3 linked regions of the Neurospora crassa OR74A genome follow. The protein of the gene in region 1 interacts with the protein of each later gene in a biochemical or structural test. Links are inferred from orthologs where the notes say so. Each region holds a gene or a part of one and is shown in the gene's direction. Other genes may lie near its edges.

The links.
Region 2: the proteins of NCU06708 (region 1) and NCU01741 form a complex in vitro, tested with the Saccharomyces cerevisiae proteins (4 studies listed by BioGRID). The link is inferred for Neurospora crassa OR74A from reciprocal best matches to the Saccharomyces cerevisiae genes SEC22 and BET1.
Region 3: the proteins of NCU06708 (region 1) and NCU03889 form a complex in vitro, tested with the Saccharomyces cerevisiae proteins (3 studies listed by BioGRID). The link is inferred for Neurospora crassa OR74A from reciprocal best matches to the Saccharomyces cerevisiae genes SEC22 and SFT1.

What each region holds. Positions count from the first base shown.
Region 1 is NC_026505.1:4,344,929-4,354,949, forward strand, and holds NCU06708 (protein transporter sec22), read left to right. Parts: upstream 1-4,440; 5' UTR 4,441-4,602; coding exon 4,603-4,636; intron 4,637-4,753; coding exon 4,754-5,373; 3' UTR 5,374-5,747; downstream 5,748-10,021. Other genes in the region: NCU06707 (uncharacterized protein), read right to left, coding at 1,009-1,199, 1,254-1,665, 1,728-2,321, 2,379-3,317; NCU06709 (hypothetical protein), read right to left, coding at 6,007-7,166, 7,380-7,614; NCU06710 (ClpTM1 domain-containing protein), read right to left, coding at 9,202-10,021. UniProt on the Saccharomyces cerevisiae protein: Nonessential SNARE involved in targeting and fusion of ER-derived transport vesicles with the Golgi complex as well as Golgi-derived retrograde transport vesicles with the ER.
Region 2 is NC_026502.1:2,579,938-2,590,546, reverse strand, and holds NCU01741 (SNARE complex subunit), read left to right. Parts: upstream 1-5,476; 5' UTR 5,477-5,691; coding exon 5,692-5,705; intron 5,706-6,313; coding exon 6,314-6,638; intron 6,639-6,736; coding exon 6,737-6,943; 3' UTR 6,944-7,441; downstream 7,442-10,609. Other genes in the region: preg (regulatory protein), read left to right, coding at 1-440, 524-1,049; NCU01739 (hypothetical protein), read left to right, coding at 2,113-2,669, 2,756-2,819; NCU01740 (histone H2A.Z-specific chaperone chz-1), read left to right, coding at 3,659-3,823, 3,906-3,918, 4,018-4,184; NCU01742 (hypothetical protein), read right to left, coding at 7,785-9,395, 9,524-9,559. UniProt on the Saccharomyces cerevisiae protein: SNARE required for targeting and fusion of ER-derived transport vesicles with the Golgi complex.
Region 3 is NC_026506.1:2,053,293-2,057,399, forward strand, and holds NCU03889 (SNARE), read left to right. Parts: upstream 1-1,307; 5' UTR 1,308-1,915; coding exon 1,916-2,050; intron 2,051-2,116; coding exon 2,117-2,278; 3' UTR 2,279-3,418; downstream 3,419-4,107. Other genes in the region: NCU03888 (DUF500 and SH3 domain-containing protein), read right to left, coding at 1-304, 363-466, 565-601; NCU03890 (stromal membrane-associated protein), read right to left, coding at 3,419-4,107. UniProt on the Saccharomyces cerevisiae protein: Vesicle SNARE required for retrograde transport within the Golgi complex.

The sequences.
Region 1 (10,021 bases):
ACGTGTTGCGTCAGGATTTTGAATTCTTGCTTGTTGATTGAGAGAAGATTGAAGTGCTGGCCAAGAAACCGATTTTAGGGCTGCGAACTGAAGTTGGTTGCGATTATCGCAAACTTTCAGCAGCCACCATTCGCATTACAACACCCGTTTATATACCGTATGTAAAAGCAAAGGGATCAACTGAGAAGGATAATGAGGTGAAAGATAGTATCGAAACCAAAAAAGATCGCGAACCTAAGAAGATGAGATGTGAAGGGTGCGTGCACAAGCTTCGCACAAAAAGAAATGCTGGTCTCTCCCGCCGGGAATTGAACCCGGGTCTCGAGCGAATCGAACTGATGTTCAAGCTTGACAAGCTCACATACTGACCACTATACTACGGAAGAATTACAGTTGTGAACAACTGTCGTAGTGATTGTTACAATTTGCTGCAATCTCGGCTACCTATATACTAACCTTGACATATAAGAACGCTTATCAACATTGTAGATGAGGCGTTCAAGCTTTGGTTACCATGAGTGCCCTAGTCATTGTTGCATACGCGAAGTTTTGTCGTTTGGTATTACTCGTTTACCTACTTGAATGGGTACTGTAAATTATCCATCAAACCTCTTGGAACTAACAGAGATTTGTGATTCTCTCTTCCGGCCTCATTCCGTGTTACAACGCTCAGTTGTCCATGTTTCCGAAATAGGGTGCCGAGAAAGGGTGGGATACTACATAAACCTGACTCTACGTATGTTTTCTCCGCCGTAAATTGCGCTCTTCCAAATATTATCATGCATTCGTAGCCCTGGATCTCTATCCTGCGACTGTGGTCACTTTACGCTTCCCGAATTACCGCCCTAGTTCGTTCAAGTGACTGAGATCTGTACATCCTTCATAGTTGGGGTGGTATATTAATTACTGGTAAATACGGCGGTGCTTCAAAGTCGGGACCCGTCATAGACAAAGATCGGAATACGTCTTCCTCGCTGGTATTCTGTGTTCTATTGCTTTGCAGAAGCATCAATCAACCTCGTGTGGTACTTCGAACCGTAGTTCAGTATACCGTGCCCCATTCGTATTGGATTCTTCAAGGCCGTTAGGGTGATAATCAGCGATATGGTTCGTATTCGTCTCGGCCATAACAACAGATGCTGTATCGGCAGGAGGTACTTCTTGTATCACTGAAGCGCTCTTGATGCGTCCAGGAAGAGCTGGCATTCGATTAGTATCAAAACATTGTCATCATGTGCGAACATCAACTTTACCCTTATGCTGTTCCTTTGCTATTGCCTTGTTCTCGGACACTGCTACAGCATCTGCCGCGAGCGTCTCATTCTTACGGCTGGTCTTTTGGAGCAACTCCGCTGGTATCTTTGTTGCCCAGTCGTTCTCAAACTCCTTTATCAGAAAATCGTCATAGTCGCCTCGTTTGTGCTTTTCATGAGCGACCCAGGCCTCCTGAAGCCATTGTTCATCATGTCGACCCCGCTCAATGTTTTCAAGGTACCGAGCACAATCATATCTGAAGTGATCGTTGTTGCGCAAGGAGACAAGATCCGGTCGGGCAATCTCGGTCCCTGGGTCCAAGATATGGCTGTCGTCGGGGAATTTAGCGAGGATGTCTTTCCTCTCATCTGGTGTCAACACATCCCATGCTCGTGGAAGCAGCAGAATCGCCTATGGTCAAGTGTCAGATCATGGATGTGGGATAATTTTTGTGAGAGGGAAGAGGTACGAACTCTGAGATCAGCATTGGTAAGAGGTGATTTCTCATCGGTATAGACGAAAGGTGCTTCCCACTTTCTGTCCAGGTTTGTTTTCTTTGGTGCATCTCCGGCATGTCGTGGCCTTTTAGTAGTGCTAGATTTGTCCTGGTCCGAGGCTTTACGCTTTCCGAGCTCAGTACCCAGCTGCTCATCACTGCTTCCAGAATGACGTGTAGCTTTCGAACTCCATGCATCGGTTTTAAGGACGGCTTCCTCTGGCGTTTGCCCACTTGCCCTTTTGCGTGCCCTTTTCGTCACTGTACTTGGGTCCTCATTTTTCGGACCTTTGAAGCCCTGTCCATTGATCGAGGAATCGGCGACTGTTGCTGCTTTAATTGCCGGTGTGGCGATTTCCTTCTCAACTTCCAGGTCCTGTACTGCCGAATCCGCATGCGCATCCTGCGGACTCAAAGCTTTTGGCTCGCCTACATCCGCTGGAACGGCCTCAGCCTTGAACGAAACTGAGCGAGCCGCTGCTGAAACTCCTTTTCGCGGCTGTTCAAAAGCATAAACACAATGCGTGCCAGATCCAGAACATCGTGAGCAGATTGGCTTCTCTTTTAGGCACTATCGCAGCTGTCAGACACAAAAACAATCGGGGAATATCCAGAGTTTCCGACCAACCTTCAGCTTGTTCTCACGGCAAGGAGTACACGCGCCCCTCGTCAGTTTTGGTTTGAGGATATTGCGTGAATCAGCCACACCCTCTTTAGAACTGACTGCTTCAGGCAATGATTTTCTCTTCTTGGGAACGGAACTTGGCGCAGCTGATGGAGCAATTGGTTCTTCTTCACGTGTTGGAACTTCTGGTTTATTGACTGATCGTAGTTTCGGTGGTGGGAGATTTATGGCGGCCCAGGATGTAGACCCTTTCTCTTCTGGTTGCTGAGCTTCTAACTGATCAGATGGTCGAAATTCTGTCTTGTTTTCAGGGCAAGCACTTGGTGCCGCCAACGGCGTGGCCGGTTCTCCTTCAGGTTCTTCAGGTCCTTGAACCTCTGGCTCCTTGACATATCCTTGCTCGACTGCTGGCTTTTTGGCCGCTGGCTTTTTGGCCGCTGACCTTTTGGTTGCTGACCTTTTGGCCGCTGACCTTTTGGTTGCTGACCTTTTGGTTGCTGTCTTTTTGGTTGCTGGCTCCTCGACTGTTGGTTCCTCGACTGTTGGTTCCTCGACTGTTGGTTCCTCGACTGTTGGTTCCTCGACTGTTGGTTCCTCGACTGTTGGTTCCTCGACTGTTTGTTCCTCAATTGCTGGTTCCTCAACTGCTGGTTCCTCAACTGCTGGTACCTCGACTGCTGGTTCCTCGACTGCTGGTTCCTCGACTGCTGGTTCCTCGACTGCTGGTTCCTCGACTGCTGGTTCCTCGACTGCTGGTTCCTCAACTGCTGGTTCCTCGACCGTTGACTTTTCGGCTGCTATCTCCTCCAAAGTCACCTGCGCAGCAGTATCAATCTTTTGGACAAGGATAGCATCCCAGTCCCCACTCACGCTCCGGGGAGGTGAGGCCGGAGGAGAAGAGAGGACGGAGGACAGCGGAGAACTACTTCCTTCTTCAGCCATCCTTCAGGACACCTTCAGTTAGTCGCCTTTCTGGAAAGATAATTATTGCGTGTTGAAGTTGTTCAAGGAGTGATCGAACGCGGCAGTGTGGGTTTGCCGGCAAAGGAAAAATTACCGTCAAGTCAGATCTGGATCTAGACAGATCCGGAACTACTTAGTTGTTGTGATATTAAACAATACCAGATAGCAGAAACTGGCAGAATGGCGCCGTGAAAGTCACCGTTTGTCTTTCGTAAGTCAATGATGGTTCATGCGGCCAATATGGCTGTGGTTACATCTGCGAACAAACTGATGTCTGGTGGAAGGGAGGGGAGAAAGTGGGGGGTTTATAAAAGTAGAGAATGAGATGCGTTCAGGTGAAAATGTGGTCAACGAAACGAACCGAAGTGGTACTACCTTGAGTACAAGTTGACGCGCAAGGTTGGGAGGATGTGCGAGGGAACGAGGTGGAACTGAACTTGATCTAACCACCACTCTGAACTGGGAGGGGGATTATACTGACTGTGATGAATGATAGGTACCTCTAGGTAAGTAGGTAGATATTCCACCTCCAGCTCCCCTTCCCCGATGTTGTTCGGTTGAAGATGCTCCTTCTTCAAGTCGTTGTGTGATGGACAGGATGGGTGGGGATGGAAGCTGAAAGGCGCCAAGCCCGGGCAGCCACTTGCATGACACACCCCGGAAGCTAGAGGTAGCTTGTACATACTGCATAGTAGGCGTGAATAGCGGGCCGGGCGAGACTGCCTGCTCGCACTATTTAACTACCTAAACAAAACTAACTTGCAGGCCCTGCAGGGTGAACTTTCAACACATTTCCAGCGGCAGTACCGTCATCAGTGTCCCGTTTGACGACTTGTAATCCTTGATAAGGAAACACACGTTGGCCTGGCGAAATCATTGCATCACTCTACCTACGGGTAATGTTTTGTTTTCTTTATATAGCCATGTAAAGAAAAAAAAAAAACAAGAAAGAGGATAGCGAATTACAATCTGGTCTGCTGGTCGACAGGGAAAGAAGCATGCAATTGAACAAGAGAATTCGTCGGTGCGAGTTGGTTGCGGTACCTAGGTAGAAGCCACGTACCTGGCTGCTTTTGACGGATCACTCCCACTCGTCATCACAAGCTTTTATAAACCTTGCCTTGTTCACTGTCCTCTCCAACGACACCAACTTAACAAATCCAAGCACGCAACTGAACTGGCCTTGATTTCGAGTTGCACAACGATACTAAAGGTCGCCAAAAACAACACAATGAAAAAGGAGTGATATAACCTATTCTTCACAATGATCCGCTCAACACAAATTGCACGGCTGGATGGTTCGTGCCCCCCCCCCCCCCCCCCCTAACTAACCCCCTCGACCAACATCTGTGTGCCTATGGAGATGTCAATGTCTTGTCCGGTAGCTAACCAAGACCCCTCCCCTCAAAACACAGGCCTCATGCTCTGCGCTTCCGTCGACGACGAAGCAACTGAATCCTCCCTCAGCGAAGTCAAGTCCCAAGTCAAACTAATTCTGCGCCGCCTAACGCGCACCTCGGAACCGCAAGCCAGCATCGAGAGCGGCTCTCTCTACACGCTGCACTACCTGATTCAGTCCGACATCGTATACTTCGCCATTACGGACCGGTCGTACCCGCGCAAGCTAGCCTTCACCTACCTTTCCGACATTGCGGGCGAGTTCGCGACGACGCACACCCCGGCACAGCTCATGAACCCGACGCTGCGGCCCTATGCCTTTATGGACTTTGACAGCTTCATCAGCCGCACCAAGGCGACTTACAGCGACACGCGTGCGACTCAGAACCTGGATAAGCTGCATGATGAGCTTAGGGACGTGACCAAAGTCATGACCAAGAACATTGAGGATCTGCTGTACCGCGGCGACAGCCTGGAGCGCATGGGCGAGCTGAGCAGTAGGCTGAGGGACGATAGCAAGAAGTACAAGAGGGCGGCTGTTAAGATCAACTGGGATTTGCTGCTGAAGCAGTACGGCCCCTTTGCGGCGGTCGGTTCCATTATCATCTTCTTCTTGTGGTGGAGATTCTTCTTTTGAGTGCATCCCAGGCAGGGAGCATCACCGGTAGCGGGTTAGCATGATACCGTCGGGTGGGTTTCCTCAGTCAGCCTGGCTCTGTATGATGCTGTGACGGATAGCCTACGTGGATTCTGTAATTATTTTAATATGTGTTTGTAGGGCATTGGTTTTTGGCGCTTGACCTAGCATGGAGTTTGGGTAAAGGAGGTTGGGGGGAAAGGGGGGCAAACGCAAAAGGACGTTTGGCCAGGTGAGGTTTCAGCTATCAAGACATGTTGCTTATAGGTTCCTGCTTTCCACTCCTTCATCCGATGCCTTCCTAAAGCCTGACAAGGTCTCTATGGATGACTGTACCACAGTGTCACCGATGCTCAATCATGCGTATCTCCTGGTTCATTCCAGACCGGCATCTCTTCTGCTCGACACGCTATTTCTGTCAAGCGATGATACAAAATCTCCATCTGAGATAGCCTATCGGTCTCTTTCCCTACTTGAAGTAGAAGCTCTTGCCCCCCCAAACTCCAATTCCAAACCCGTTTTTTTTTTTTTTTCTTTTTTTCAATTTTGTTGTTCTCAATCCAGAACATAAACCGACACCCTGGACACTAAGCCCAAGCTTGAACCACCCGCACACGCACCCGCAAGCCTCAATCACATAATCAAACAACTCCCCGCCGCCTTTGGCAATAACGCCGGTATACTCGGCACCGGCAACGCCGTATGATACCATTCCAAATGCTCCTGGAAGCTGGCCAAGTCCTCGAACCCCCTCTCGTCCTGTGCCCACTTGACCTCGTCCTCGCTGTCCTCACCCTGGTCCACGTACGTGTATTCGTCGCAGTAGGGACACCATATCCTCGCCAGCCAATCGCCAGGGACGGGGGCAATGTGGTTCGCAATTGCTAAGGGCGCGAAAACGACCGTCTTAGCTTCGCCTGTTTTGGCGCTTACGCCTTGGGCTTGCCAGTGGGGATATGTGTTTTCTGTTGCTGTTGTTGTCTCTGTCTGTGCTTCTTTTGTTGTTGTGGTGGTGGTGGTGGTAGTGATGGTTGACGATGGCAGAATTGCTGCTGGATATGAGGCCGTCACTATGGTCGGTAGTATGAGCTTTCTTGGAGAGTTTCTCGCTATCGTCGTTGATGTCGGGAAACTTGCTGTCGTACTTGCACTCCCTCCATTCGTCTTATCCAACGCCGCCCTCGTAGATGGCATCCTCTGTAGATCCGGCCAGACGATGAACCCGTCGCAAAAGTCGCATACAAAGGCCACGTCGTGCTCCCCAAACCTCTCGAACCTCCCAACCGCGTTGCAACATGGAACCAGATCCTCAAGGCTTAGCCTCCTCCCCCTTCTCAACGCCGGCCGTAATGCCTCGTCCGTTGTCCCTGTACGGTTTTGTTGTTGCTGTTGTTGTTGTTGTTGTTGCTGCGGATGCTGCTGATCTTGATACTCATGTCGTTGCCACGGCGGTATACTTTCGAGGTCCCTCTGCTTGCTTCCCCCTTCCCTAATCTCCTTTTCCCGCTTCTCTTCCTCCTTCTGCTTCCGTAGCCGCTCAGTTTCCTCGTTTCTTCGCTGCTGGCGATACACCTGGTAGGCACCCAGACACCGTGTCCACGGCCCTTCCTGCTCGGCCGCGAATATGCGCCGAGAGGCACGGCATTGCGTGCGGTGAAGCTCTAGTTGGAGTTCCTTGGTCTCGCTGAGCCAAGTTGGGTTGATCGGCCCACCTTGCCGAATCCAGTCTTTGTAGTTGCGGGCGTGGAATTCATATTTGACCAGGAGGGCACGCAATTCGTTGAGGGACTCGGCTTTTTGAGAGGGTTAGTTGGTAGAGCAGGCAAGGAGAAGCTTTATCTGAGTGGGATTTTTGGGAAGGAAAGGAGTGATGATGATGGTGATGGAGGCGTGTGAGTGAAAGTGCCAGGCGAAATAGTCAGCCACCAGCAGAGGAAAGATGACGTGAGTCTGAGAAAGAGCACGGTGAGGGTCAGAAAAGATTCAAGATATCATGGTATACTTACGAGTCCTGTCTCCTTCATAGTAAAACTGCCCATTGACCAAGCGCCCCAGTTCCTGAAAATCTGTCTTTGCATCATCCAACGCTTCTTCAAGGGCGCGAATCTGTTCAAACTCGTCAGGGCCCCAGTGGCGCTTGTCGGCAAATCTGAGTGCGCGAAGTGAGTCGCTCAAGTGAGTCGCAATGCTGGCCAACAGCGACCCGACCGTGTCGTGATTCGTGCTGGGACCTGTACTCATATCTTTTTTTGGCGATGGTTGCTTTGCTGGCTATGACCTCTTGATATCGGATCCCCCTCCACCTCCTCCCGTTGATATCCTTTGTCTAAGCCGTTATCGTCGTGTCGTCGTGTTCAAGCGCTTATTATTGGCCTTGGTTCCCCTCGCCTAGCGTATGCTCAATGCCGCTTTAATAGCAGTAGATGACCGCGAGTGGATGTAGACTTGGACTACCAACGAGACTCTCGTCACTAACAGAAGTCGAGCTTGGGGGGCTTGTAGGTGAGACTATCCGTCTAGGAGGTAGGTATCTACGAATGCGCAGCGATGAAGTGTTGTCTTGCGTCGTCATTAAGTGGATACACCGAGCCCCGATCCGGTAGCTGTAAGTACGGATGAGCTGAAGAAGGATTTCATCACAGAGTTGGACATGTGAGAAAGGGGCCAGCCAGGGAACGAAACATCACATGGAAGGAAGACTCGGTCGCCCAGGAAGGAAATGGGGATGGATCAATGGATGTCGAATCGTCGTGCAACGGGGGTTCGGGGCCCGGGCGCTTGGATACGATCCGACGGTTACGCCGGCGGGACCTACCTCCTCTAGAGGTATGTCGGGCACTGCTAGGCTATTGGAAGGGCCCTGTGGATCTCTCCTTGGCGGAGACAGGCAGACGTGGAAGCTAGTCCGCTGCCTTTTTGTACACTACCTTAGGTAGGTACTTACCACTACGTACAAACACAACACAGGAAGCTGCATCAGGTCGGGGGAGAAGTTGCTGCAGTGTGGCAGCGGAACAACGGGTGCCATCCAAACTCTTCAAAACGGAACCCTGTAAAAGGACAGCAAGGTGCTCATCAACTAGGGTTATTTTGACTCGTATTGTTGGTGATGGGAGGGCCAGGCCCCCTGCTGTAGTAGCGCATCTGAATGGGTAATCAATGAATGGGACGGGGGTTCGGGGACGGTTTTGTTTGCGAAACGTGGAAATCGTGGAGATCTTGGCGGGGAGCATTTCTCCCTAGGTGCTTAGAGTCGGTACACTAGAGGCCCATATGGAGGCCTCTCTACATCCGACTCCGTTAATTTTAGGTGGGATTCCCCGAGGAAGCCCTTCGTTTCCTAAAACCAGCTTTTAGCGATGACATCTACCTCTGCTTGTAGCCTCCAGCTTCGACGGCGGGGAGGGGAAAGTATCTTACTAGGTACCCAATGGATAACGGTTGCAACCTACCAAAGGCTCAGCCCTACAACCTAACCAGAGGTGCTCGGGAATGACCGACAGCATGGTGGGTACAACAATGGACACTTTTGGACTGTTACATGGAGGTATCGATACACATCCCTATATTTTTACGACATTATGACTGCAGTTCGGCACACGCCCATCTCTCACAATACAGGCTCATCACTCATTGATCAGCCGTGGGTGCATCCAAGACCCAAGCATCCACAAGAAGCACCAGCTCCCCAACAGGTGAAGAATTCATTCTGTATTAACATTGATCTATCTTTGCTGGGATGTTTGGCGCCATTCTCCAAGATGCTGAACCCCATTTCCCATGAATAAATTGATACCAAACCGGGTCCGATATCGTGCTTCGTCAGCTTCACTTCCTCTTCTTCGCTTTGCCAGTCTCCGTTCCGCTAGCCTTCGCGGATGTAGTTCCCACAGTCTGTTCTTCAGTCGGTGCATGAAATGCCGCCTTCTGCCCCTCCGCCTTCTTTTCCTCGACGGCGTCATCCTCGCCACCCTGTCCGAACTCGTTGACACGGGTGTAGTCGACCTTGTAAGCCCATCTCTGATACAGATAGATAAAGAAGATGATATCATCGCGGAACGTAGCAAGGCGATGGAGGAACGGCATTTTGATGGTGAAAGCAAACAAGTCGTCGATGAAGGTGTTGAGGAACTTGTACATCATGGCCTTGCCAGGCATGTGAGCAACGCTCTTGAGACGATAGTTGATGTACAGCGAGGGAACCATCATCAGGAATCCATAGGCGTAAACCGAGCCAACAAGGGTGGCGATGACGAATGAGTACCACGACTTGTGGGTGTCGTAGATCAGCGAGTAGATAGCATAAGCCATCAGAAGAGGAACGCCCGCCATGTACATGTACTTGAAAGCAATCTCATCGTACTCCTTGGTCTTTTCCTCTGTCTCGCTGAGCTTATGCTTGTCCTCAAAGGAAATACGGTATGGTATGATGGATCCGGGTGCAGGCCGAATCCGCACGTTAACCACCGTCGTAATCTTCCATAACTCGATGAGAATACCGACGCCCTGAGAACCGAGAATCATCCAGCTAGTATTTTGCGACTGGTCGACCAGATACAAGAAGATGATGGTTTGCATGAACACATTGGCGAGGATGGAGCGCACCGAGATGCCAACGTTGTCCTTCTTCTTGCGATAATGAGCAATG
Region 2 (10,609 bases), on another chromosome or scaffold:
CCTAACACCGTCGGGCCCATGGCTTCCCACGAGGAGCAGGCCTCGGCCTTGGCCTCCACATCAGAAGCTACCGCTGCTCCCATTCCGCATGGCCCGACAGTGGCCGTAGCGGTGCCTCCGACTCCTGGGGTCTACTCAGCGGCGCCCCAACCGCATCCGTTGTCACATACTCCTCAGACAGGTACCCCCGTGAAGAGGAGAAACTCGCAAGGCGACGTCACCCACAACCAAGTTGAAGCGGCGAGCGCCGGGCAAAGCGGTCCGCACTCCCCTAAGCGCGCGAGATTAGCGCCCAAAATTGTGTCCCGGCGATATGAGCACTGTCCAGTCGAAGACCTGGTTGTGCTTATTGCGCACATGCTGGGCGAGCTTATTGAACTTAACGACGAAGCGGCTCAGAAAGTGGGGCAGCGTCATAACCTTACGAGGTTTCACTCCCGGTAGGCTGCCTTCAATCCCCAAACTGCCTGGATCTGATGATGATGCGGATGAAAGGACAAGCTGCTGACATGAAAATTCATAGAACGACACCTGGAATATCGGTTTTGGATTATCTCCACCGACTCGCAAAACATGCCTATCTGTCACCACCAATACTTCTCTCCATGGTTTATTATATCGACCGCCTTTGCGCACTATACTCGGACTTCACCATTAACACACTTACCGTTCATCGATTTCTCATAACAGCCGCTACCGTTGCCGCCAAGGGGCTCTCAGACTCCTTCTTGACCAACACACTATATGCGAGAGTGGGAGGTGTCAGAGTTGCGGAACTTAACATGCTCGAGTTGGAATTCCTCCACCGCGTCGACTGGAAGATCGTGCCCGACCCTGACGTCCTTGTGGCATATTATGGTGGACTTGTGGCCAGATGTCCAGGATACATACTGGAATGCCCAGAACCAGAAGAAGCAGACGACGAGGATGAAGATGAAGAGCTAGACGAAAGCGATGCAATAGGCGACGACGACGACGATATAGACGGTGAAGGAGGAGAAAGAGAAGAGGAGACGAGTTCAAGCCAAAGGGATAGACATGCCACGTAACCAAGGTGTTTTTCGGCTCAAATCGATCAGTCATGTCCGATGTGGAGCTGGTGTATAACAACGGGACGTGGCGGGAGACAAAAACAATAGAGTATATAGGGAATCAAACCAACGAAGGGCGCAAAAAAGAAAACCAACAGAGATCATTCGGACAAACGCGACGGGGAAGTATCTGCCGGAAAAGCAAAAGACCTTGAGGCGCCTGTTGAATTGTCGGGGCTTGTCTGAGGGCAATCTGCCTGCGGGAAGGAAGCAATGGGATATCAAATGGAGATAACGGGAATTATATGGAGGGTGTGGACACATTGGAAGAAATGTGATCTTGGTTATCGAAGACAGCAAGGACTCAAGCTGGAAGAGTATTGCTCCCGTCCCTTCCAAACACTACGTTCGAGTTACAACGCCTGGATTGAGAGGGAGATCATGACAGCATGACAGATATGAGATGATTGGTGTATCCTATGAAGCACCGCGGCGAACCAGCAACCTTTTTTTGGGTGGGGGAATTGAATGGGCTGTTCCTTTACCTGGCACTCTTGTAGGAATAGCACTTTTGGTAGATACCACTGAGAACAGATTTCCTCTTTCTACTCAGATGTCTTTCTCTCCTGATCGATACGTCTTATAACACTGATCCGGGCAGAAACGGTATCGGTGTCGATTCAGGACGTACCGAAAGTCCAAACCGCCAATATAGACCGGATGTCGGGCCCTCTCAACCGGCGCTGCCCCTGGTGATCGGTCCTGGACCGGATGAAGACCCCACCAGGCTTCCAATACCCGCAGAAACGGGCAACCTATGCCAAGGGTCAACACCGGGACCCACCTTTTACTACACGACCGACACCCACAGCACAAGTTGAGGCCCAAGCATTCCAGTCGTGGCTCCATTTTCGTCATTCTTCATGACTTAAGTTGTCCGCTTCTCTTCGCGCGATAGCAGCATCTTCTCACTATTCATACTTGGTGACTATCTGCGTCTCCTCCAAGCAGAAGCAAAAACTATCTCGGAAGACTGTAGCAACCACACAGGCGACAAGCTCTCGACAATCCTCGATCCGCCATGAGGCTTCTCGCGTCGCTTGCGTCGGCGCTCTTGGTCGCCGCAACGGCCGCAACGGCTCAGGTCATCACCGTTCCAATCTATATCCAGCCCGTCAGCTCCTCCTCTGTGCCATCTTTCCTCGCCGAAGTCAGTTACGACACCGCACAAGACCCAAGCAGCGCGGTAGCACCGGTGGTGTCTGCCTACGAAGCGCCTGAGATCCTCGACGACTTGCGAGGCCACGAGCTCCTACGTATCGGCGTGTACGACAAGGCGGAAAACAAGTGGGTGTCGTCTACGTCGGTCATATCGGCAGAAAACTTCGGCAAGGGGTACGCGCCACATATCGTGCTATCAGTGGACGAGAGCAATACCGAGGGTAGCTATGACAACCAGCACGTCTTGGGCGTCGCGTTCAAGGGCATCAGGATCGATGCCGGACAGACAAGGGACTTTGGGCCGCAAGCGGTGGTGGTCCGCACAGCGCAGGGCAAGCAGCCGGAGTTGAACAAGCCGGTCGTGCTGTCGCCAGAGGGCAAACAGGTGGTGCCGCAGGAGAAGACACTTTTACAAAAGTATATTGAATTCCTTCCCTTCCCACGTTCTGATACCACTGAGATGAGGGCTTTGATTGCTGACGAGCTGGTTTGCTGCACTACAGGTACTGGTGGGTTATTGCCATTGTTATGGTCCTCTCCCTGGGAGGCGGAGGCGATGGGAAGTAATAGACTGGCCACATTGTTTTCCTTCCCTGGTCAAGCATTGTACAGAGCTTTGCTATGCATTTCATCTCTTGGGTGAGGATGTTCGTTTCGCGCGTTTTGGTTGTATTGATTGCCATTTTTCTCGCAGTGCTCCTCGCCGTCCTGTCGTGTTTGAAACCCTTACCTTACCTACTTAGGTACTCTTCTCATAACCGGGCCGTTTGTACTGTAGAGGTAGTACAGGGAGACTTCCGATTCAGTCGCGTTCCTCATCACCGAGCTTCCAGCTGGTGACTCCTCTGTCCCTTGCGTCAGTGTCTGGCAGGTTGGACGGGGACGCTGCGTGCCGAAGCAAGGAGCCCTGCTAGCTGCCTGCTGCACGGCCCCTAGAGGTACCCTTGCATCGTGGTCAACAGCTGTCTGCTAGTGGCGATACTTATCAATACAGTTTAGCGCGGCTAGCACACTGCCCCACTGCCAGATGGCAAGTGGATCCAAAAGCTAGCTGCCCGCCTCATAATTGGAAAGTGGGTACTTGGAAGCTGTTCGCTGCTCCCATGTCATTGCCCTGCGCGCGCCTGCCCTCGTCGCTCTCTCAACGGACCATACAGTTCAACTTCACCTTGGAAGTCACCACCAACTCCCAACATCACATCTCGGAACTTTTCTCCCCCCCACTTGACTTCACCTCTCAAGCGAAAGGAACTCTCTCTTGACAAACCCAACTTTTGGTCGCGTTCAGCCTCATTAACAAGAACTAATAACCATTTTTTGGAATCTGTTGATCGGATCCATCTGCCATCGCCAACGCGCAAAGAAAGACAATAATCACCATTTTTGCTACTTAATCCATCTCGAAAATGTCCACCGAGAACGGTACCACTGACACCACCCTCGCGGGCACCGCCGAGGCCAACACCCCCTTTGAAAGCAAGGGCAAGGGCAAGGCCGCCGCTGAGTCCGAGGACCACCCCATGGGTGAGGCAGAGGACGACGAGGATGATGAAGATGAGGATGAGACTGAGGTGAGCTAAATCCTGAAGGCATCAAACTTGCTTCTCAAAACACTCTTCTTCGCATTGTCCGTGCTAACCCTTCCGTTTGCAGGAGCCCGAAGCTGGTACGTTAATTGCCTTTAAATCCATCAGCCAACGCCCAATCACGGGTGACGATCGCGCAGCAACAGCTTACGTACAGGAACTAACATGAACAAAAACAGAGGAAGACAACCTCGAGGAGATCGACCCCAGCAATGTGATCAGTGGTCCCCGCACTCGCCAGAAGGAGATCGACTATGCCAAGGCCGCTCAGGACTTGCCTGCCGAGGAGGACGATGAGGAGGACGACGAGGAGTTTGTGCCCGAGGATGAGGAAATGGAGGAGTAGTCCGAGGCTATCTTCTGATTTCCTTTGATGGTTCACAACAACAACAACAACAACAACAATGACAACAGATTCTTGTTTTCTTTCTTCCTGGGTTTCCCCGTTGGCTCTGCGCTTTGCTCGCTGCCAGTGGTTGAGTTTTATGATGATCACGAGCTTGGAGATGTAAGCCGTCTTTTGGCTGATTGCTAAGCCTGATTGGCTGGACCTATTTATGTACGTGAATGTCAGCTATAAGGCCTGGGGTTGTTTGGTTCAATGCGTTGGGAGTTCCCACAATCAGAATTTGGCAATACATGATAAGGGTGTAAGTGATCATTCGTTTATCAGTTCAGGTAGACCGATCTCTTCTGTCAGCCAATTTCAAAGTATCAACATACTACGTACGTTGGTGTATCAGAATACGCTTGATCGCTTGTCTTCACTAACCTAACCCCCATAAGTGGAGACATTGGATGATTCCCCTGTCAGCTCAAGGGCAGTTGGCCTGTTGAGATGGGGTGCCACTAAACTAACCGCGAGGCAGCCTGAAGGGGGTGATATGTCTACGGCTGACCTATGAAAAGGTAATATTCCGGCGAATTCTAGAGTTGCTATGACCATCGAGATTTGATATCGGTCCTGTTCCTGGAGTACACAGCAGACGTCAGGAACCGGAGCATCGCACCAGCCACCAACAAGGTTCGCGATCTTGGCCTGATCCACCGGGTATTCTACGCAGTACCATACACCAGCTTCTTTGACGCCAACATCTGTGAGAATGCATGCCTTCGACTTGGAAAGCTTCAACGATTCTGAAAGTCTCGGATTTGGGCTTAGATTCGCTTCAATAAGTCCATACTTGAGTCTATGCGCCTTGCGCAATCTAACGTGGATCAACTTATTGCTGACGCGACAAGCTGAGAGAGAAAAAAAAAAAAAAAAAAAAAAAAAAAAAGGTAGAGGAAGAATGGAGACGCTGAACGCCCAATTAGCCAATATCAGTGGAAGCAACACGGGCACCTCTCGGAGGGACTTTGAACAACGCCGAACATGAACCCTCCGACATAAAGAAAAATTGAATGATTAAAACCAGATACATTGGGGAAAATAGTGTCAAGTTCTCTCGGAGAGGAAGACGTGACACCAACCCAGATGTTCAATCAACGTGTCCTTGTCAGCATCATGCGGCACGAACAACATTGTACCTTTTAGCCATTACATATGTATCACCCAGACACGGACTGACGTTGTAGTTTATGTACATGGACGGCGCACCAAGGTAACATCTGGCCAGAACAGGCCTAACAACCACCCAAACTAAAAAGGGGGATCTGCCGGCGCTGGCGGCCAAGGGTCCACGGGCATTCAACTTTATTTTCTTTCTTCACCACCCGCACACCCCCCGCCCGACGCTACCTCTATGGAACCTGCCAATTCATCATCTCTAATACCTACCCACACTCTTACAAGTTAGCTAGCATTTACCTGTCAGGATTCTCGAAGACGGATCGACCTAAATTTGCTCTCCATGATGGCTTCCAGGTGAGTGCGATTCTCTTGTACGTTCGTCTTAGCATTGCACCACACCACACGCAAATGCCACCTTTCACATTTCGAAATGCGACTTGGCCTGTCAACTCGACCAAACCCACGACCGACACGCGATGAAGCGAGCGGCCGACCGAGCTGCCCGGCTCCGGTGAACGGGTGTACGATATTGCCACCGGAAGATATCTGCGGACCAAAGGCAGCAGCTATCGATGTTATGGTGGTTGGTTTGACAAGTCACGATTTCTCGACCTGCCCCCCCTGGTCATGGCGCGACGGCCTCAACTACGTCATCGCTCTGGTTTCAGAGTCTCGCCAACACGCCTCCAACCATGCCATGGTAGGATACGATACGAGTTCACTACCGTGATGTGATGCAGTCGCAACAGCGGCGCAACCACAGCAGCACTGGCGACGAGAGCGAGAATGACAGCGAAACCGAAAGCGTCAACTCGATCCATCCACCATGCCCCCGGGTCGTCCTCGATTCGACTTTGACCACCCACCACAACCCCCATCCCACCAACCCCTTAATCCTTCGAACAAGACAAGACAACACCCTTCTAACAATTAGTCCGCTTTTCTTTTTCTCCGGAGTACAGATTTGCACATTCCTCTCTACACCAGCGCGACCCGCGCAGCGACCTTTTCAAGGGCTACTCTGGCTCCAGCGCAGCCGAGCGCCGCTCGGCCAACGCCAGCCCAGCAAGGTATGGCGGTGGCGGCGGATACGGGTACGGGGGCGGCTATGGTGGCGGTGGGAGTTATAACGGCAGCTCGTCAACACTGGGGATGGAACGGGGCGGGTTTAGGCCTGCTACTCCAAATTCAAGGGGCCAGTACAGCGACGCAGTCCTCAACGAACTCGAGAGCCAGAATGATGAGCAGGTGGAAGGGATAATGGGTAAAGTCAAGATTTTGAAGGATGTATGTTTTTGTTCTCTCTTTCTGCTCTCCTCCCTCTCTCCCACTTCCTTCTCTCGCAAGCCACCCATCAACTAACCCCATCCCTCCCCCACAAACAGATGACTATAGCCATCGGCGATGAAATTCGAGACTCCTCCGCCCTCGCCGAGAAGATGAACGAATCCTTCGACCAAACCCGCCTCCGACTCCGTGGTACCATGAACCGAATGCTCATCATGGCACAGAAGACCAATGTCGGGTGGAGGGTGTGGCTTGCCTTTTTCGCTGCCGTGGTGTTCCTCTTTTTTTACGTGAGGTATCTCTAGTATCCTTCCAAGGTCAAGGTTTTTCTGAACTTGGAAGAGAGAAAAAGAAAGAAAAGAAAAAGACAAAGATGGAGGGATATGTTGGTCGGCGGAGTGGTCCTCCTGCTGCTGCTGCTGCTGCTGCTGCTGCTGCGCGGGGCAAAGCGATATGTTCAAGAATGATGGAAACGAGAAAAGAGACCATATATATGCAAAGGAAAGATGGGATAGTATATATATGGCTTTAACGATGGGTAATACCAATGGATGATGAGGAAAACGGAAGGTTCTAGGTCAAAGTGGCTGACTACCTTGTGGGATAGAAAAGGCATGGATATGGGTTGCCCTTGGTAGATTGCGGGCGGACTTGGTTTTTGCATGCTGGCGCCGGGGAGTTCGCGTTTGTTAAGTCGTTCGGGTAGTATCAGAAGTCGGTTTTTTTTGGTTTTTTTGTGGTACCTAATTATTTTAATCATTCTTAATCCGTTCTCCAACCAATGAGGTTCAATTATCTGGTTTAATCCACTGATCAATCATGAAGCTATATATGGGCTCCCACAAACGTGAAGTGGATAATCATTGAGCGTATAACAGACAGTTAATCAGAACTGCGTGTAGACTACCACTGCATAGACCAGACCATTGCTGTAACGAAGATCAAAGTTGTCTTTTGACGGACATTATCTATTCAATCCTGCTTCCCAAGCCACCAAGTAGCTACCCATACTGCCATGATCCCAAGACTCCATGCGCCAGACTCAAACGACCTGTTATTGAATGATGCTTGCTGACCGTTCCTACCACAACTCCTCAGTTTTAATCCTCCCTTGTTTCTCTTTCCGAACCACCGCGGACCTTCATTCTAGTGCAACCTCCTCACCCTTGGACTGCTTCTCATCATGGGACTACTCTCATCAACAGACAACAGCCCACTGATATCCAGACTGCTCCTTGGCGCTCCAATTGTGCTCCGCCTGGCATTTCCCGCAAGACTAGTCCTCAACAGCCGCTGCTGCTGCTGCTGCTGCTGTCTTGGCAGTGATACGCGGCGATGCTGGCCCTGCGCTGATCCCGCTGCCGAACCAGGTCCGTAGCTAACCCGGTGAGCGCGTCTGTGACTGCCGCTCATATTACCACCGCTACCACTGCTGCTTATGCCGATGCCTGCACCTGTACCGACTTGCTCTTGTCCTCCCTCGTTATCACTGCTGTCAAGAAGCTCCGCCTCGGAATCGGTATGCTCATAGAAACCGCTTTGCGCACGCTCCTCGTCCGCCTCTGGAATGTCGTCATCTAGGTTGGCGTTCATGCCTAGACTGTCGTCCGTCATGCCTCTGTCTTCGTCCGCATATTCTCCGCTGTTGTGAGAGCCGATGATGTCGTCCTCCTCTAGCATGTGAGCTTGGTCTTCCTCGTCAACGTCGTCGTCTTCGTCTGCGGCGCCATCGGTTAGATTGACGTGCGTGGGCCGGAGACCACCGCGGGCCATCATCTCGCGCATGCGTTCTTCGTTGGCACGCACGTTGGCTAGCTCGCGCTGTTGCTGTTGCTGCTGGTGAATATTGCTGTTGTCGTTGCGCCCGCGGGGATGGAGGATGGAGGAGCCGGTGCCCGTTGCTGTTGATGCTGCTTGTGGGGCTTCGACTGTGTCTTCGTCGTCGTTCCCATGATCGCCGGTGGTGGTGTTTCGTTCGGTGGTGGCTTCTTCTTCTTCTTCCTCTGCTTGATCATTCTCCTCCTCTTCTTGCTCGTCTTCTTCGTTGTCATCATCGCTAGCCCCATCATATCCAAACCCACCCTCGTCCGCATCCGGAATGTCCTCGTCCAAATCCCTTCCTCCCATCTCATCCATGTCATCATCACCCCCCATCAGTTCCATGTCACCATCATCAGCACCACCAGAAATTCTATTCGTATTTCCCACGTCCCTTCCTTCCACGCCAGCAACCTCCTCCAACACCGTAGTCCCATTCCCATCACCAACACCAACAACAGCACCGATGTTACCACCACCGGCAGCAGCAGCAGCAGCAGCAGCCGCTTCCGCCTCCGCCAGCTCCCCAGCCAGCATCTCCTCGCGCCGCATCGCCTCTTCGTGCTCCTGCCTCTCGCGCTCCTCCTCGCGCATCTGGAACAACGTCTTGCTCACACCAAGTGGCTTCAGCCAGGTACTACCCAGGTTGCTCACGTTGGCTTTGCGGCGCTCCATGTACGTCTCGTCGGCGCGAAGGCGGCCGAGCAGGGAGCGCTCGATGATGGCGGCTTGAATGTTGCGGGAGGCATTTCGGCTGTTGTGGCCGTGGACGTGATTGCTGCCAGTGGTCGTCCCAGGGATAACGTTGCTGGTTTGTGAGTTGGTAGTAATCAGACCCTCTGGAGAAGTGGAGGAGGAGGATGGGTCGAAGGCTGAGAGGAGGTTGGAGGTTGAGGATGCGAGAGGGTTGCGAGAGGAGGTGTACCAGAGGGAGTGGGACTGTTTGTCTGGCGTTAGCAGTGATAAGCAAATTGAGTGCTAGGTAGGATTGGAGGGGTCAGGTGTGATGTGGGAATGGTAGGGCTGAGTAGAGCAGAGCAGAACAGAGATAAGGTATCAAGACTTACATCGCGCGGGGCCAGGTCAGGGAGGATGGAAAACATACTGGCTCTGTCGTTAACGAGCCTTCCGTTGCAGGATTGCTCGAGTTGTTGGTTGGAAGATCGTTAATTGTATCGCATGCAAAATTTGAGCTGCGACTGGGACCGCGACGTCTTGCCTGGTTTAGCTGTGTATATGTAGGCGAAAAGTTTAACGTGAGGTTCCGAGGCTATCCAGGGCGCGTTGATGGGGAAGTTCGGTGATGATGATGCTGTGGTTGTTCAATGAATGCCGGTGGATAAACGGCAAAGGTATGATAGATCAGGATGAATGGATTTACTGGTTCTGTATGGAACACTACGATCTGACGTCTAACCAACCTAAGCGGTGGTAAAGTGCATTGTCGTGAATTCAGCTTCTCCAGAGTACGGTCCATGTTTTGGATGAGATCCCTAGCAAACCTTCGTGTCCTTATGTATTTAAAGGTACAGCAGCGGTACAATAGTGCCCAGCACGTATGCGCAGTGTACGTGTAGTGTACAGGTGAGTACGTAGGGTACCCCATCTGAGCTTTACCCCACGATCGGATGCGGCTATGTAGAAGTACACATGCTGCTGCTGCTGCCCTAAGAAGTGATCTTGTTAGGTAGCATTTCATGGAACCTGAACAACTGGACTCATCATTCTTACCTCTAGGTACCTCTAGGTACACTTATCACTTATTTACTTACTCGGTCTGATTGCATTGACCAGTTCACACAGGAGCCTTTACCATCGCTGGAAAGCAAATGTCCAAACGTCCGAACGTCTCAGCTTCAAGATCGCTCATTCCACTCTGCACATGGCGTTATTACCGGGGCTTTTTTTTGGGGGGTCACTACACACTCATACCCGGCAAGTTGCTGACCATCACCAACTACAGTCACTTACATAGAGGTAGGATTTCATCAGATAAACAGGTGCTGTCGACCCAGAAGTCACGAAGCTCTCAAAAGTCTGGAAGCTATTGCGCCGATCTCCTGGTTTCGTCCGGTGGCCGTCTCTGGTCAGACATGGAAAGCCAGCCACACAGATCGCAAACAGCAAAGAACAAAAAAAGAGAACAGCTCCAG
Region 3 (4,107 bases), on another chromosome or scaffold:
TTCTCAGCGAAGCGGCTCCGGCGGCCTCGGCATTTCTACCGACAGGCCCGGCCGCGACCGAAACGTTACCACCAAGTGTAAGTGACCCAGCTTGGGCGAAGGTTTTTACGGCGCTCGCGTCGTTGAGAATGAAAACGAAATCTGTAAGCTCGAAACCGATCTGACCGCCGAAGCCGGCACCACCCGTAGCAATGGCGGTGGGGGCAGACCAGCTGCCGTCGGGGAGGCGGGCGACTACCAGGCCGCTACCGAAACGGGCAGATCCGAGGAAACCAGCTTTGATGACGGTGAGTATAGCAAGACCCTAGGAGAACGTTAACCACCTGGTCGCTTTCGTTGAGGTTGCGGATGCTGTTTCGTACCTTGGCATTCGCGAGCACTGATGGCGGTATCACCTTGTCGGGACCAAAGGCTTGTTTGGGCTCGATGAAGGAGGCGAGGATTTTACCGCACTTCTTACATTCCGCTGGTTACAGACGTGTTAGGATGTCGGATTCGGCGAAGCGAAGGGGAGTTGCGGGGTCGGGCTCGCACAGCACGGGAACCCCGGGGACACAAACTCACACGAAAGTGACGACGGAAGAGGGTTGTTGATACCCATCTTGAAGTGTCGAAGCGGAACTCCCTATAGCGGACTGGCGCGGGTCTTGAAGGGCGAGGGCGTGTAGAGCGGCTGCGGTGAGAATGCCGTGGAAATGCGACAGCGACAGCGAAATATTAGAAAGAAAGAAAGAGATGGAGTTCGTCAGTCATTTCTCGGGACACTGGCCGATCAATGCCTGCAGGCACACTGGCAGGCAAGCAAGTAAGCAGATCAGCCCGGTCAATTTCTTGTGTACATAGTAAATGCGAGGTTGGTACCTGGGCGTCCCCACAACGGCGGTTTGTCAAGATGCTGGGGAGATCCTTGGGGTCACTTGTTGTTCGTGATGAACGATCTTGTTCCCGGAGGATAAGCCTTTGTGCGTGCTCTTTTGTTGGTGTAACTGTCCGTTTGAGAGTTTGTTTTTTTCCCTCTTCTTCACAGATCGGAGTAACTGATGAGCGAGGCTAAACAGTGGCATGGAATTCATCACAGTCAACATTTGAAATGGAAGTACTTGGAAATGGAAGCTGGAGCTCGTGCCGCGCGTCATGTGAGAACTGTAGCACTGGACCCTCAATCACTGGAGACGCTGGGATGGGCTTGGGCAAGCACTGCCGCCGTGGGCTGTGCAGTAGCGTACACTACTGTACCTCTACTTCTCTACTTTACTCCGTCCCTGCGCCCTGCACCTTCCACTTTGAATACCCGGGCCTTGTCCAGCGGGCAGAGCAGAGCGGGCGTTCGTCGTTACGTAGGTGACTGACTGACGGGACCCAAAGTTGCAGTGGCCCGACCACGAGCACAATCAAATGGCTCCAGCAGGCTCCGCTCCCCCCGAAAAAGACCCCGCATTGACCATGCATGTGCTTTACGCGCAGCCACACGTAAATGGCCGAAACTGACATCATTCGCGACTAGGAGGCCGTAGCTGTGGCTGGTGTATGCATCAACAAGCTGCAGTGAGCCGGCCGCCCCCATCATGATGGATGCATGATCCCGGTGTCCTTTCATTGTGACCCTGAACTGAGTGCATCTGGAACCTGCTACAACCTACCCCCTTTTGACATCCCCATAGCACTCAGCAATACCTAGGAACACCACGGCTTCACTCCGAACAACGGACGCTGCAAGACACCGAAGCCGACCCCCGCGCGCGCGACAAAATAACACGTAATAACATCTTCGATAATACGAAACTCGGGCCATATCAGCGAGTTCCAATTAACCCGATACTCAAAACTGACGAGTGAACCTCCCACACGGCCGCTGAGCGAGTCGCAACATACAACTACGACCACAACACAACCCCCCCCCATTACCATTATCAAGATGTCCGCAAACTACGAGCGCGAGCGCCAAAATAATGCGCGCCTCGACGAGCTAGCCTCCAAGGTTTCTGCCCTTCGAGGTGTAACGATTGACATTTACGACCAGGCGCGCAACCACGAAGTTATCGACCAAACGGTACGGTTCCTTTGATTTTACTCTGCACAAAATAACAAACTGACAAGTCCCACCAACAACGAACAGACCGATACCTTCTCCTCCATGGGCTCTCAACTCAAAGGTTCCGCCACCCGTCTAGGCCGCATGGCCGCATCGGGGAACAAGGTCGCCATTCTCAAGCTCTCGGGTATTCTTATTGGGAGCTTCCTGGTCATTTACTATCTTTATCGACTTTTTGTTGGTTAAATGATTCAAAAAGTCACGACGTGTGAGAGGGCTAAAGTCGTTTGAATATTGGGTCTATTGGGTCTATTGAACTTCGACATGCGAATACATGCCAGGAAGCAAAAGGAAGGGAGGTTCTCTTCATCGGGTTCACTACAACAACACAGGGCGAAGGATGTAGAGGGCGGCACGATTCGATTCCCGACAAATATCAGGAATGATAAGACGGATGCGTGCGAAGCCGGACATCAAGACAGGATGGAGCTTGTCCGGATAGCTTGTTGGATGTTGGAGTGCTGGTACAGGCGATGTGCAGTCCGCTTGCTCCCACAAAAGCCGCTACTAGTATTGCGCAGAGGAGGTGCAATGTAGGGTGGGGCAATGGGTGGGAGGGTAGCAGGTCACGCAGGACCGTAGGTCTGTGTTTTGGTGGATTCTGAACGAAGTGTGGATTTTGGTTTACAGACTGGGCTTAATGTTTTGTCTCGACAACAGACGGGTAGATGCAAAGGCATAGCAATGGCGTTGACGGTTCGGTTTTGTTTGTTTATTTGGGATTTGGTTTCTGCGTACCTTAGGTTGTCATTGATACGTCGTGTCGTATAAGCCAGACATCGACATTTCTCAGTCTCATCCTTGATTTTTCATTTTGAAACTTCAAGGACATCAGAAGGACATTAATGAGGGCAACACACACCTTACAAAAGATAGGAGGATCCTATATAAAAGTGCATTACTTTTGCCCTACCAACGAACAATAACTTGTTGTCTATAATGTAAATATGCCAAAACAAAACATGACTTGCTGATGTAAGAATGACTGCGTTGTTCATCATTCCCCTATTTGTCACGCATAAACCATCATTTGCCTAACTCTTAACTAGATCAGACTCCCACAGCATAAGTACGACATGGTGTTCGTGGATAGCATCCCCTTTCCAGTCAGGTGGTATAGAAGGAAAAACAAGTTCGGACGCTTGATGGGTTTGGTTTGGTTTGGTATAAGTTTGTCCGAGCTATTTCTCACATCACCTGCCGGTTGATTATATATTTACATGGTCGGCATCAGGCGCGAGGACAACAGCAAAAATCCCAGTAGACTGCACTCGGTTACCTCTGAACCCCATGTCGGAGATCCCTGAATTGTCGTTCTAAGGTTTCTTATTGCCAGACGTTTGAGAACAGGTCGTCACTGCCACCAAAACCGGTAGCCGGCTTGGATCCGCTCGGAGCAGCTGGTGTGGTAGTGCTGCTCATCCAGCCCCCAAACTCCTCATCGGCCGCCACCTTTGGTGCTGGGGCAAAGCCGCCCGAAGCGCTGGGGACAATAGGTTGGCTTGCGAAGGAGCCGCCGGTAGTGGAGGAGGTGGTGGTGCTGTTGCCCCATCCAAAATCGTTAGAAAGAGGGATAGAGGTAACAGGTGCTGGCTTGGGCGGTTCAGGAGCCGCAGGCTTGGGGGGCTCAGGGGCGGAGGCCCACTCGTTGGAACCCCATACACCTGCATCTGACCAGGCGTTAGACGTCGCAATAGAGGCAAGAGGGTTTGGTGTTGTTGAAGTAACGGCTGCAGGGGCCGGCGTGGTTGCGGCGGGCTTGGAAAGGTTGAATGCGGAGCTGAAGTCAGATGAAGGCTTCGGGGCGGCGGCCGAGGGAGGAGCGGTAGTAGCAGTAGCTGTTGTGGAAAAGTCAAACAGGTCACCGAGGGCGGAGGAAGCGGGCGCGGGCTTAGAGGCTGGCGCAGGAGGAGGGGTTGATGAGAAGCCCAGTGGGCTGCTGATGGACTGCTTGGATTGGTGGGAGGATGTGGCGGGCTTGGAATCGAAGAAGCTGCCACCGCTTAGGCCGGAAA